2 linked regions of the Mytilus edulis genome follow. The protein of the gene in region 1 purifies or fractionates together with the protein of each later gene. This does not show direct contact. Links are inferred from orthologs where the notes say so. Each region holds a gene or a part of one and is shown in the gene's direction. Other genes may lie near its edges.

Evidence for each region. Proteins that work in one complex are often made in the same cells at the same time.
Region 2: the proteins of derlin-1-like (region 1) and E3 ubiquitin-protein ligase TM129-like purify together in Homo sapiens (affinity purification with western blotting; 3 studies listed by BioGRID). This does not show direct contact. The link is inferred for Mytilus edulis from reciprocal best matches to the Homo sapiens genes DERL1 and TMEM129.

Annotation. Positions count from the first base shown.
Region 1 is NC_092348.1:63,047,852-63,055,916, forward strand, and holds the start of derlin-1-like, read left to right. Parts: upstream 1-5,015; 5' UTR 5,016-5,223; coding exon 5,224-5,382; intron 5,383-7,420; coding exon 7,421-7,520; intron 7,521-8,065. UniProt on the Homo sapiens protein: Functional component of endoplasmic reticulum-associated degradation (ERAD) for misfolded lumenal proteins. Forms homotetramers which encircle a large channel traversing the endoplasmic reticulum (ER) membrane.
Region 2 is NC_092347.1:90,629,581-90,637,117, reverse strand, and holds the start of E3 ubiquitin-protein ligase TM129-like, read left to right. Parts: upstream 1-4,517; 5' UTR 4,518-4,606; coding exon 4,607-4,826; intron 4,827-7,006; coding exon 7,007-7,481; intron 7,482-7,537.

The DNA of each region.
Region 1 (8,065 bases):
AGAGGAGGGGGATAAGGTCTCCGTGCAATGCTAGGCGGTGTTGTCGTAGAAGTTAAAAATAAAAAGTACAGGTTCCAGCCCCGGCGCCGGGGAGGAAGTTACGAATCAAATCTACTCTAACATCGTTAGGTTGATTTTCTAGGCACTTTATGTATGTATATATATACATATATATATATATAACAGCTTTTTTAAAAATAATTTAGGAAAATCATTGAACTGTGAACAAATGCAGTTTAATTCTATCTTAAATAACTTGCATCACATCCTATTTTTTTTCCAGTAATGTTGTTTGTAAAGCCTGTAAATTTAGATAAGATCTGTGTACACTCATTGGTGCTGTGAGTAAACTTACCAGTATTCTCAATGGATATCAAGTGAACACCATAGGAAAATCTTAAGAGTATTGTTTTTATCCATTCAAAAAATGATTTAGTTTTCTATAAATCAAACAAATAATTAAGGCAGTGGCTATTTGACTGGCAACGGCAAAATAGCAAATTTGCTATTTGACCGGCACTGGCAAAATAGCAAATTTGCTATTTGACCGGCACCGGCAAAATAGCAAATTTGCTATTTAGCCGGCTCTGATTAAATCATATCTAACTGGAATTAAAATTTAAGAATAATAATTAAATATCAAAATTTTCTATCTAAAAACATTTGTTACTGTTGCTCATATAAACACTTAAGGGGACGACCATTTGATATTCTGGGGGGTGGGGGGGGCAGGAGGATTTGTTTTTGATCGGTTATTTATTTTTGTAAACTAAGAGGACAGATTATTCATTTTCTGCACCGTTGAAGCAAGATTTTTCATTTTAATTAAAGCAAGGGACTGATTATTCATTTTTACAACTATATTTTTTATATTCGAAATTTTTTTTGAAGGGTTTTGGATCCACTGAAGGCCCAAGAAGCTATAGAACAAATGATGCAAAATCATGCTTTCTGGATGTTCCGAAGACCCTTTGATAATCTGAAAATTAAGTTTTGTTTAAATAATTTTTATGCCCAACCTACACTAGTAGAGGGGCATTATGTTTTCTGGTCTGTGCATCTGTTCGTTCGTCCGTCCGTCCGTTCGTTCGTCTGTGCGTCCGTTCAGGTTAAAGTTTTTGGTCAAGGTAGCTTTTGATGAAGCTGAAGTCCAATCAACTTGAAACTTAGGACACTGTTGCTTATGATATGATCTTTCAAATTTTAAAGCCAAATTAGACTTTTGATTCCAATTTCACGGTCCAATAAACATAGAAAATGAAAGTAGGAGTTTCAGGTTAAAGTTTTTGGTCAAGGTAGTTTTTGATGAAATTGAAGCCCAATCAACTTGAAACTTAGTACAATATGTTCCCTATAGTATAATCTTTCTAATTTTAATGCCAAATTAGATTATTACCCAATTTCACGGTCCATGGAACAGGATAGTGTGAGTGGGGCATCCGTGTACTTTGGACACATTCTTGTTTGACAATATTTTGGTCTCAAAGCAAAATGTATAAATTCAGAGTTAGACTGAAATTTCTAGGGACAACATCAAAAGACCAATGTGCATGATAAAGCAAAAATGGAATTCGCATAGTTAAGCCTATGGCTGCTGGTTTTTTTTTTAAACTCATGATCAAGTTCATAACAAAATTACTAGATTACAAAAGAAATGCAACACTAACAGAATACAGAAGGGCAATCAATGAACAAAAGACAAATAAATAAGAAACATTGATCCCGAAAAATCAGGGCTATAAGTCTGAGGGAAAACAGAACTTTCTTCTTGCAAGGTCGTGAACACAATTTGATATGGAGACAAGCGTTTGGTTTTGAAATTTTCTACATGTAGTTACGGCCCTGTTTAAATAAAAGTGAGGTATGTTTCCTGAGACAATATACCTCAAGTTAAATGAAACCAATTTTCAGAAATTTCAAGTATATTTAAATAATATTTATACTTTTGTTATTAAAAAATTTGTGAAGTGTTTCACGATTTTTTTGGGGGAAAAAGATGAATTGATGAAGAATCTGGTGCCATCTCATACTTTCCATTAGACCTGCTGAGTTATTCATTTTCTATACATTGCAAGTCAGGCAATTTATTTTCAAACTACCACAGAACAAACCATTTATTTTTGTGATTATCAAGGCCGAGTTATTTATTTTCAAAATCCTCCTTTTACACAGATTTAAATTTGAAAATCAACATTTTGTTATAAATATTTTAGAAAAAATATATTTAAAAAATGTATTTACAAATGTGTTTTCATGCTTTTAATTAATGTTATAAAGTTATAAATTATTTATTTATGAAAATCTTTTATTTTTTATTGTACTTTAATATTTTAAATGCTTGATATTGTGATAAAATGATTTTAAATTATTATTATAAAGCTTTTTTATTCTCCACTAATCACATCAATGAACAGTTTTATTTAGTGCCGGCTAAATAGCAAATTTGCTATTTAGCCGGTGCCAGTCAAATAGCAAATTTGCTATTTTGCCGGTGCCGGTCAAATAGCCACTGCCAATAATTAATGCTTCAAAACAAGCCATCAACTTTTAAATATTCAACGTGTTGTCATTAATTTCAAGAATGTATACCATTTAAATATCTGAATAAGTTTATTAACCTTTAACATGCTTAATCTCCTTAATATTAAACTTTTTTTTTTAAAGTAAGGAGTTGGTCTCATTGGGATCTAAGCGTGACACAGGATTGCTGATTTTTTGTAAGCATGACACAGGATTGCTGATTTTTTGTAAGCGTGACACGTGAAAGTCAAATTATTGTGCCATGAAGACAGGAAACGAAGTCTAGCAGAACACAGGGAAATTACAAAAAAATTAGAATTGCTAATGTATATACTGTAAGCGGGATACAGGAATCTGACAAAACAGTAAGCGGGATCAGAACCCCCAGTGATACCCCCTAAGGAGAACAATACACCTAATCGCTATTTATTCCATTCCGGATAAGTTCTAAAATTACACAACTTTTTCATCCAGTTGAAGTTATCTGGGACCCTGTTTGAACAATGCACCATGCATGATACTTTTTAATGAGACCTGTTTAAACTACCGTAAATACTTCAAACAAAATATTTTTTTACTTTAATTTTAATTTCGAAAAAAGTGGATCATACTATATCAAAGTTTCTTGATAATCACTTTCTAAAGTTTTTTCTCCCTCAGCTCACTACTGATGACCTCCATTTTTCGGCCGGTGACCCAAAACAGGGAGTTGTATAAATGACTGTTTTTCTCGGAATGGACTAAATAGCGATAAGGTGTATCCAAGGGCAAACCGACTCGATGGGCACAAATGAACTCAGGGCGAACATGTAAATAGGGTGGACAAACCCAATACCCATCTGACTATAGTCGAACGGCTGATTGATAAAGCTTGTCTAAAACAGTGTAAGTTCTTTATATTAAAGGGACTTGTAATTGTTAGGATAACAGGTAAATTTTGGACTTCCAAATTGATATAGATTTTTTGCTTTGATATTACATATTGCAGCACACAGGAAATCTAAATCTGTGCAGCTCATTGCTTGTTGAAAAGGGTAGAAAAGCACTTTTTAAAATAAAAAAAACAATTGGACTAAATAACCAATGCAAGCTATTAGAAAAATTATTTGACTCCCTAGTTGTGCCTATTGCTCTATACGGAAGTGAAGTATGGGGAATAGGCAAACAACACAGGGATTCAGATCCCTTTGAACACTTGCAGTATAAATTTATTAAAGAAATTCTAGGAATACATTGTAAAGCATCAAATGCTGCATGTTTAGCCGAGCTAAATAGATTGCCTTTATATACCAGAATAGAATTTTCAGCAATAAAATATTGGCTTCATATACTTGAATCAAATAATTCACTTGCCCTAAAAATATATAAAGCAACTGAAAAAAATAACTCTTGGATAATAAATATGAAAAATCTCCTTTCAAGACTTGGTTTTCATTTTATTAATCTAAATCCTATTGATATTAAGATGTATTTAAAACACATTCAAGAGAGAATCAATGATATAGCCTTCCAAAAGCAAGAGACTGACATCAATCAAAATAAAAAAATGAACTTTTTTAATATACTTTATAAACCAAATAAAAGACCCTCGTATGTTGATCAATGCAAATCCAAAAGTGATAGATCAACATTATGTAAATTGAGGTTAAGTGCTCATACTTTATCTATTGAAAGAGGGCGATATCTAAAAATACCAAAGCAGAATAGGGTATGTCTTTGCTGTAACAATGAAGACATTGAAGATGAACTTCACTTTCTTTTAAAATGTTCCTCCTATAAATATGTGAGAGATAACCTTATTAAAAAATTAAATAATGTTCTATTGAACAACAAATTTTCTTCCTTATCATATAACTTACTTATATCAATTCTAAATAGTAATTCCCAAACAATATTAAAAATTGTTGTCAACTATTTGAATGAATGCTTGTTGGTGAGAAACTCATTATTAAAAGGTACTTGATTTTTGTAATAATGTATATTATGCTTCTCATTTATTTTTTATATATTTCTCTCATAATTATCCACTGTCACTCCTTCATTGTATATATATGTTATTGTAGTTAGTCTTTAATTTGTTGCCATAACCATTTATTGTCAATGTGTTAGTGCTAATAAAGTTATCTTATCTTATCTTATCATATTTCATACCCTGTAAATTTTGAATTTTGCTTCCCTAACTTATTAGCATTGCAGCTTCATTAAGTGTGGTTAGTATTGCTCTTCTAATAAACAGTGATGTTTACTATTTTTCGGGACCAAACATGTTTTGATTTGTCGCGCTTTTATAAAATTATAGATTTTTTAAATTCATAAAAATACGAACTCTGCGGTAAATTAAGTTCATCATTGCAGTGATTATAGAATCTCATCTAGCCTTAAATATCAATTCATTTAAAGTTCTACCTTATAAATACATTGAAGATACATGTTATATTCGAAAAAAGAAAATATAGGTATCTCTTAATATTAATTCGTTTTATAAATTAATATATGAAAAATTTATACTTTTGTAAACTTTTGGGTTTAAGAGATTTCGTCAGAGAAAAGTCCCGAGCTAACCGATGAATGTTTACTTCCGGTGATAATCAACTTTTTGAGCGAAAGCCACGTCAGATTTACACGGTTTAAATATATAAAGTAGAGTTGTGTCTTAATGACAATTGATGATTTGATATACTGAAACTTCATTAAAGAAACAAGATGTCCTCGAATGATATCGGGGATTGGTACCGCAGTATTCCGAAAATAACGAAATGGTGGTTTTCAGGATCAGTTATTATACCAATAGCAGCGAAGTTGGGACTTCTGAATCCTATGTGGTTGTTTCTACATTATGAATCCTTAATTTACAAATTTCAGGTACAATGAATTAGTATTACATTTGAGTTTTTGTGATTTGACATTTGCATAATTGCTAGCCTTTATACACCTTATCGCTAATCCTGGGTGAACAGGCCGCTTGAACTTTTGACGTATACAACAATCACTTTTCCATTGTGGAGTCAGATATTTTGTTTATGACATTAAAATTTTACGGGAACCTGTGTGATATCCAGTAATAGTGGACATATATATAGCAATAAGGTGTATAGCTATAGATAGTCGGAGATTACTCTGACGTCCAACGGCTGTTTTGCCAGACAAGCTGGGGCCGTGGGACGTCAGAGCTTGTCCCATATCAAAAAGTGGATATTTGCCCACCCAAAATAGATGCGCTGCTTCGTCGCTTCTGGTGCCGACTGGCGGCCTTGGAATCATATAAATCGGGCATCAATCTGTTCATTTTTCATTTATCTCTTCATTTATGTAAGTTTCACTTACCTGCCAACCTTTATTTTCCCATATATATTAACAGTTTTCACAGAGACCCATCGATTTCTGCATTTTGACTTTCATTTTTAAAGATTATCACGTGACCACGAGAAAACAAGTGATGATTTATGCAAATGACCATATTCTAACACCTCATTCATTTACGATGCAAGTAATCTAAATGTCCGAGGGCTTCCGATTGTTATCGTGGTTGGCACTAAATGCTAAATACCGATCTCCTGTAAAGGAGGCGAAAAGTTGTGGTTGGTTACTAAATGTTAAATATCGATCTCCTATATATAAAGGAGGTGATAAAAGTATAATTATTTGCATATTTGAGTCTCGAGGTCGCAAAATCCCTCGTAACTTGAAGTCCATTTGAAAACAAAAGAAAAATGTCTGAATGGATGGGTCTCTGTGAAAACTGTTAAAATATGGAAACCTTTATTTTTCCATATTTTAATCGTGCCAACCACGATAACAATCGGAAGCTCTCGGACATTTAGATTACTTGCATCGTAAATGAACGAGGTGTTAGAATATGAAAACTGTTAATATATATGGGAAAATAAAGGTTGGCAGGTAAGTGAAACTTACATAAATGAAGAGATAAATGAAAAATGAACAGATTGATGCCCGATTTATATAATTCCAAGGCCGCCAGTCGGCACCAGAAGCGACGAAGCAGCGCATCTATTTTGGGTGGGCAAATATCCACTTTTTTATATGGGACGAGCTCTGACGTCCCACGGCCCCAGCTTGTCTGGCAAAACAGCCGTTGGACGTCAGAGTAATCTCCGACTAAGCTATAGACAGGTCCCCAACACTACATAAATTATTACCGAATGCAAGTAGACTTGTACCAGTTGTGGTCAACATTTTTTAATCAAAATCGGTTTGGCCGAAATCATATTGCTTTCATTTTTGTTCGCCCCCATTTAAGTTGGCGCCCCAATCTTAAATAAATTGCAATCAATGATTAATCATCTAATCACAAAACAAATATTTCAGCTTGTTTAAAGCCACTATAATCAGCAATTACAACTAATAAAAAAATCATGCATCTAAGACTGAATTAATTTGTCTATAAGTACACATCCATCGATCATTCAATGGATTTAGTGTAAAGACCACATTATAAACAGTTTGAGAAAAAGATGACATTGTGCAATGAAAAGATACAGTTATTGACAGATTGTAGATTAGATTGTATTAGCCTTTTTTTGAACATTCTGTACTTGTTTCCTCAAATATTAATCAAAAGATTCACATATATTTGTAACTTTATAAACCTTTAAAAGATTCATCATAACAAACCATCAAAAATGCATATGCATTTGTAGATACATTGTACAGCCAAAAAAATCATGCTCGTGCAGTTGGAATTGGTAAAGCCAAAGCATCCACTAGAATTCAAACTACATTTGTAAGAATCACTTTAATGTAATTTTTTAGTTTCATATTACTGTTTAACTTTCATGACTTTGTGATAATTATACTTTCACAATAATGGTATTGTGATTAGAAACTTTGAATCTAAATGAATATTGTTCTAAAATGTATCTTTTGTGATATCTATTTTCAGTTTTGGAGGCCATTGACAGCTGTACTATTTTATCCAACAGGATTCCCATATTTGATAAACCTTTATTTCTTATATTCTTATTCTATCAGAATAGAAACAGGTATGTTTACTATTACTACAAAAATATCATTTATATGTGCTAGTTCATGTTACAAACAAGTTGTCTGCACTGTTTACATGTATATGTCCTATCTGTATAAAAAAAAAAGAAGATGTGATATGATTGCCAATGAGACAACTCTCCAGAAGAGACCAAATGACACAGAAATTCACAGCTATTGGTCACTGTACGGCCTACAACAATGAGAAAACTGACAGATTTATTAATGAACAAAAAAAAATATAAAAAATATAAAAAAACATATATGTTACACAGCAACAAACGACAAAAAAAATTGCAATTTTGTTTTCATTGTCATGCTGTGGTTTGAACAGTGGTTCATGCATAAGACAGCATTTAGCAATTCTGTTTAATAATTATGTAAATACAGAATTTCAATTTAGAAAAATACTAGAGAAATTTCTAATGGCATCATTTCATGATGTACAAATGTAGCAGTCAAAAAACATACATTGTTGACTAATTTACACACTAGTTTTTCAACAGAGCACACATCAAGACGCAAGTGTGGCATCAATATGTCA
Region 2 (7,537 bases), on another chromosome or scaffold:
TCATTCCGTCTAAAATCTTGTAATCAACATTATCTAATGTGATTGGACTGTAAAAATTTTATCGTTTTTGTCGCCTTTCTTTTTAAAAATCAAATTTATTACGCTATGTCTCATTGAACGTGACAACTGACGTTCACATAGTAACTACTTAGACCACTCGGCTACCGAGGCCTCTAGTGAAAGTACATCATATTTGTAGCAAAAACTGAAGTCAAAGGATGATGCTCAAATGAAAGAAAAGTATCTAAACCACGTTTTCCCGAATTGTTTTGTTGTATTGATAAATGAATGGGATACTATCATCTTCGCCATGAGACAAAACATTTCAATAATCATCACTAGAGTGTCATGAACACGAAGACATTTGTATATGTGCGAGTTTTTTACTTTCCCGATGTACAACAATAACGGTTTCATTTAAAACGTTGATCTAAAAATATTATATAATGTTTTTGGGTAGTGTGACTTAATCAAATTTCAAAATGAAGACATTTCACTGTTTTAAAAAGCGTCGAATTAAATGTCAGAAATTCTAAAACATAAATGTAAGACAGAATAAAAAAAATAAATAAATGTTATGAAACAATGTTAACAAATGTACATAATGTAATTTGTTTGATGTATGATATCAATAAATTAAACAATGAAAAACTATGGAACGCCACAGCTGTCTTATGTGTAACTCTGATATCACTTAATGATATTTTGTCTCTACTTAATATGGTTTTGAAATTACGTAATGATGTTTTAATATAACTCAATATGGAAGAGTCATTACTTAATGATATTTCGATATTACACGATATGGTTTCGTATTGACTTGATATAGTTTTGTCATTACTCAATACGGTTTTGTCATTACTAGATGTGGTTTCACCATTATTTAATATAGTTGTGTCATTAGTCAATGTGGTTTTAACATTACTTGATGTGTATGTGACTTAACGTAATGAAGTTGTTTCATTACATGATGTGGTTTTGTTATTTCGTAACGATGATTTGTCTATTCTTCATATGGTTTTAACATTACGTAATGATGTTTCCAAATTTGACGATTTTACACTACTTGATGTGTTTGTTTCATTATTTGATGTGGTCAGAGTCATATAATACAAGAGATTGGCAACTCGTCGAAATCCCGTAATATCACACGGCCAGATTTAAACCTCGCAAGATCTCTTTGGGTAATGGAGTCATTATCAAAGTATTAAAAGCACTCGAAGTAAGGGTGAATGTTTAAGCATAAATTATAACTGTTTCGGTGTTAAATTTAACATAATTAATTAAATAATTAGAGTTCATACATAATTATTTATTTCAATGTCATTTTAATTTTGATTTGTATTATTTGTATTATTGAAAAAGAAACATAATTTGATATTGAATTAAAAATAAAAACGATATTAAATAATAAGCACTTAATAAATTGTATCAGGGTTTATTTTATTTGATAGCTTCATAATGGGTTTCTATCAAATATACACCTGTCTCGGAGACATAATTTCACAGTGTGACATGTATATTAGGCTAGATTCGATGGTCAGGTAAATCACAACCTGTTAAAAGGAGTTTTATTTGACACCTGGTACACAAGAAGTTGTTACTACACCACAGGTGTCCACACTCTTTCTGAAAATGGGCAGAATCAATTTGCGCCAATTGCAGTTTTGAAAAGGTATTAATTGCGCCACTCTCTTTTATTTTGATGGTATTAATTGCGCCACATTTACCTGTTAATATTTTTTACCTATATCATACCTGTACATGTTTTACCTACCACATGTCCCCATTCAAATTTATTGATCTTCAAAAAAAAAGGGGGGGCTGGATCCGCCAATGGGAAGGTGTTTACAAAAGGTAAACGGACAGAAAGTCACAGGACATAAAGTCACAAATTTGGTAGGACAAAAAGTCACAAATAATCTGTTGACAATTGTTTGTATATATAAGAGAAATATCTTTAAATATTTACTTTTTAATACATGTATTCATATTAAAGTTTAATAAATGTGTCATTATATTTGAAAAATGAAGATTTTTGAAATTTTAATCATGCAAAAGAAAGATTTCTTGGCAGCATGAAGCCATTTAAGTGCCAAACCAGTTTGACACTTTGTTTTTTTAACAATTGTTTGATCATCTTTGATATGTTTTTGATAATTTGAGTTTACAAAGTTGGTTTATATACAATAGTTTAAGAATAGAAATAAGCAATTTTTGTTCAAAGAAAATAATCAGAAAAAATAAATTGTGACTTTTTGTCCTGTGACTTTCTGAAACTGTCATACATTCATACGATAAGAGTATTGGAATAACTGCATGAACTGAAATCAGAAAAGTAAAGACAAGAGGAAACAATTTATCAAAATATCAAGATTGGAGAATGATGGGGTGCTAAAATAAATAAAGAATAGAGAATAATGGGCAACATTTATAAAGAAAAGAGGAATATATTGGGAATGTGTACATGTCCATGGTATACAAATATATGCCCTGCTGATCTTGTTTTAACAAGATAACATTTGGAATTAATACAGGCTCATTAAATTGCATATTTATTCGATAATTTCAAAGTTTTATGAAAAAAAGGTAATTCTCGCATAGCTGGATTTGGGTCATGTGGGTATCAATGTGAAAAAAATAAATCACCTTTGATGGTATTTTATGAAAACACTATTTGATCAAAATATACGAAAATAGTATCATTTTAACGGGATAACAATCGGGAGTAAAATAACACTATAAAATTGCATATATAATCGTAAATTTCTAAGTTTTATGAAGAAAAAAAATGGTGGGCCACACCGGTTCTACAGCAATAAAGAGGGGAAGCTGAATGGACCAAATTTAAATTGGTCTGCATTTGATTATTATCATCATCTTTGCACATTATAGTATAAACAAATTGGTAGAACTAGTTCGATGTATCTTTTGAATATACTTACATGCTTTGGCTGTGAAAACAATCGACATAAACGAGAAAACAAATCTGTAAGCGTATCGTCTCTCTTAACAACAATGGCGGAATTTTCTCTTTATCATCCCAGGTCACATTATAATCCCAATCACGTCCGGTCTCACGTGATTTCATTTATCGTTACTTGGATTTTACTAGAGTTGCGAATCTCTTGTATTATATGTCTCTGATGTGGTCTTGTCATTCTTTGATGTGGTCCTGTCATTCTTTGATGTGGTTATCCCAATACTTGATGAGGTAAAACCACGTGACCAGGTGACCAATTCGGAAAAACCTGTTCTATTTTTAGATAGATGTCCATGTTGTATGTGCCATGCGTGTGGCCATCTATCTAATTAGTGTTCAAATTAAAGTTCGGGTTACTGTTTGAGTTAAAATTTGAGCTAGTTAAGTTATGCTTAGAATTAAAGTTCTAGTTAGCATTGAGTTTCGAGTTTGACTCACATTTTAAGGCAGAGTTATAGTTACAACTTTGAATTTGAGTCACTTCTTGAATTAGAGTTTTAGTAAGATTCGAATTTAAGTCTCATTTAGATTAATTAAGATTTTTAGTTAAAATTCGAGGTATTTTATATGTATTTTTGGGTTCGTAATTAAATTTTCTATCGCGAAACAAGGGTTTTTGCTCGGGCTTCAGAAAAGAGCGCTCCGGGATATGGTACTAAATAAAACAATATTGCAGTATATAAAATGCAACATTGGAGTTGAAATAAAGTTAGATGTGGTGTGATTGCCAATGAGACAACTATCCACAAGAGTTTAAATGCAGTGGGTGTAAAAAAAATCATACATAGGCAACATTGTTTATTTAGTCCGCATATCCCGGAGCCCTTCTTTTCGGAAGCCCGAGCAAAAGCCCTTGTTTCGCGATAGAAAATTTAATTACGAACTCAAAAAGACATATAAAATAAATATACTTCATGATGTATTTAAATGAGTAGTTATTGTTGCAAACTCCACTTTACATGAAATTTGAAATGAGATTATTTTTGGAATAAGGGAACAGGGGAAGTGAGAAAAAAAATGGGGAGGGGGTATAGAATTTTTCTTATTTCAGATTTCAGAAATTAAAAAGAATTTTTCTTCAAATATTTCTTTTTTAGGGGATTAATATTCAACTGCATAGTATATTGCTCAAAAGCAAAAAAAAATAAGTTCATTAGATCACATTTATTCTGTGTCAGAAACCTTTGCTGTGTCCACTATTTAATCACATTCCAAACTCTGAGCTGTATCAAGCTTGAATGTTGTGTCCATACTTGCCCCATCTGTTCATGGTTCGACCTCTGCGGTCGTATAAAGCTGCGCCCTGTGGAGCATCTGCTTTTTTTAGGGGAGGACAACCATTTCTTGACAGTTTAATCTCGAATCAAAACATTAATTTCTCTATAAATACATGTATGTGTCTTTTACAAAGGATAGAAGTGATACAAATGTTCTGTGAAATTTAAAATTGTTTCACAATTTCATCGGCTAGTATTTGAGATTTAAAAGTGGCTGTTAACAGTGATTTGCTAGAGTCAAACATCTTTTCGGTCATTAGTTATATTTATAGCAAAAGTACCTCCACATGTAAAATTCTGTGTAAATTGAAAGTAGACGATCGATTGCCAAACTATTATTACTAAAATGTCGTCAAACGAAGAATCGACACTTTTTGCTATTTATACACTCGGATATACATTTTTTAGTCTGGTAATGATAGCACCACCTACTGAATTTGTGGCTGCCGGTTTGACAGTTCAAAATATGTTGGCAAGTTTCCTTGGGAGTGAAGAACTTGGTTTTATCTACTTTCACATAAAAAGAACAGCTGCGACACTGTTGATTCATTCATGTTTTCCATTAGGTAACCATATACAAGTGTTGCTTTTCATTCACTTATATGTGCAGGGTCGGATCCAGCCATTTATTTTAAGAAAAAAGGGGAAGGGTTCCAAACCATAACGGACCAGATAAGTTAGATAAGATAAGATATATATTATATTTTTCTTTTTTTCCAATTAAAGGCCCATAGGGGTATTGATATTAATTAATGTCAAAATAAAAGGAGGTTCCAACACCGACCCCGGTGAACCCCTAACCCCAATCTAATTAAAAACCGATCTCTCATCGCTCTTGTTTCTGATATGTCGCGTGGGAGATCTAACGAAACCCGCTTTGAGGTCACATGTGAGTGACCTCGTAGGTGTGTCTTTTTCGACCAATGAAATTGAGTCTTCCACGATCTTGGAAGTTTAACGTAAGGCAAAGGGATTTAACTCATTTTATTTACGACGAAATCGTCAGTCATAATAATTCATAAACTTTTTTGATTGGCTTATTAATAGGTCGTCAACTCATTTGCATATCTTTATAAATTCATGACTTTTAGTTCACTCACATGTGACCTCAAAGCCGGTGTCGTTAGATCTCCCACGCGACATATCAGAAACAGAAGCGATGAGAGATCGGTTTTTAATTAGATTGCCCTAACCCCCCCCCCCCCCCCCCCCCCCTTGAGCTGCCACTGAGGTGATGGGTACATCTTAACTGGTTTTATCAAGAGACATATCATAGATTTTATTTGTATCAATATATATATAGCTAGGGTTTTATTCAGGATCATGTACCCTTTTTTTGTTTCAGTACTGAACCTGAGATTTTATTTATGTCTAGCTAAATATTTGGAGATGTTATAGAAAAACCACAGCCCTTCCTCTTGTACTCCTATATTTGACAGTTTTGTATTTGATAAAATAGGGAATTACTGCATGCAGTGCTAGCAGTGAATTCCTTAAAACAAGTACAAACTTGTACCAATTCAAGTACACCATTATGGTGTGCTCAACTTAAGTAATTCAGTGGAGGTATTTTTTATTGGTTGTTTAGGATTATTTTGGTAACCATAAACATAAGCACAACATGTTCAAAAAATAAAGTGAGCAGTCTGTTTGAAATGTTATAGAGACAAATCAATTTATGTATTAAACATGTTAAAAGTGATAATGTCTGGATTTTCTGTAAATACCTTGGCTTGATTTGCAATAAAATCCTTATTTTCTCTTTAATGCAATGAAACAATCAATTGTATTGCTGTCAGCAATGTTAACGTTTAGGTGTCTGGTATAAATGTAGTTCAAATAATTATGACGTCTGGCAAGGCTATTTTATTTATTTTCTGGGACGACTTCCCAAAAAGAAAAAAAATAGCCTTGCCAGACGTCATAATTATTTGGACTAGTATAAATGTACAAAATTCCAAGTCTCTTATATTTAGAATTTTTATTGTTATATTAATAGACTTTACGGGAAGGATTGTGCCTGATGTTCATATGATGAAATCATAATCTTTCAGTCAGTTTAATTGAAGTCTGGAGCTGGCATGTCAGTTAACTACTAGTATTCTGTTGTTATTTATGTATTATTGTCATTTTGTTTATTTTCTTTGGTTACATCTTCTGACATCAGACTCGGACTTCTCTTGAACTGAATTTTAATCTGCGTATTGTTATGCGTTTACTTTTCTACATTGGTTAGAGGTATAGGGGGAGGGTTGAGATCTCACAAACATGTTTAACCCCGCCGCATTTTTGCGCCTGTCCCAAGTCAGGAGCCTCTGGCCTTTGTTAGTCTTGTATTATTTTAATTTTAGTTTCTTGTGTACAATTAGGAAATTAGTATGGCGTTCATTATCACTGGACTAGTATATATTTGTTTAGGGGCCAGCTGAAGGACGCCTCCGGGTGTGGGAATTTCTCGCTACATTGAAGACCTATTGGTGACCCTCTGCTGTTGTTTTTTATTTGGTCGGGTTGTTGTCTCTTTGACACATTCCCCATTTCCATTCTCATTTTTATTTTAACATTTGTAATACACAACACCATTTTAACCTTGATAAAAAATTATTAGTAATCAATATTATAAACAAAAGGTTAAAGGCAGGGTTATCATGGTTATAAGTCTTGTTTGCAATGTGTTTTATTGATTAGATTAAAGTATACATATTATAGTATAAATTAAAGTGGCACAATTTTTTTTTCATTTCAGGTTATTTTCTAGGACTGAGATATGTCTCGCCTCTTCAACATCTTTATTGGTTTCCTTACTTTGCATGGTATTGGCAGATATATTTGACAATTAGCCTCTTTATTATTATAATTGCATCAGCTGTTGTGTTTTACTGGTCTACAGACAATTGGTCCAGACATCCGATTGCTAAAGAACTTAGTTATCTTACTAATAATGCTGGAAGTTGGAGAGCAGTGGCATCCTCTATAAATGTTGAGTTCCGCCGTTTTGACAAATTTACATCCGGCCCACATGGAAGAAGAGTCATTGTCACAGACTCATGGGTTATGAAAACATCCACATATTTTTTAAATATAACGCATCAAAATGATATTCATCTAACTTTATCCAAATCAGAGGAACACTCTCTTTCCTATGAAAGTATGACATCAGTGCAGTATTTAAATATCTCAGTAGTTAGTATCAACAAGAAAGTTACACCATTTCAAATCAGGCAAGTCAAGTAGTTAATATCGATTAGAAAGTTAAACCATTTTAAATCAGGCAAAT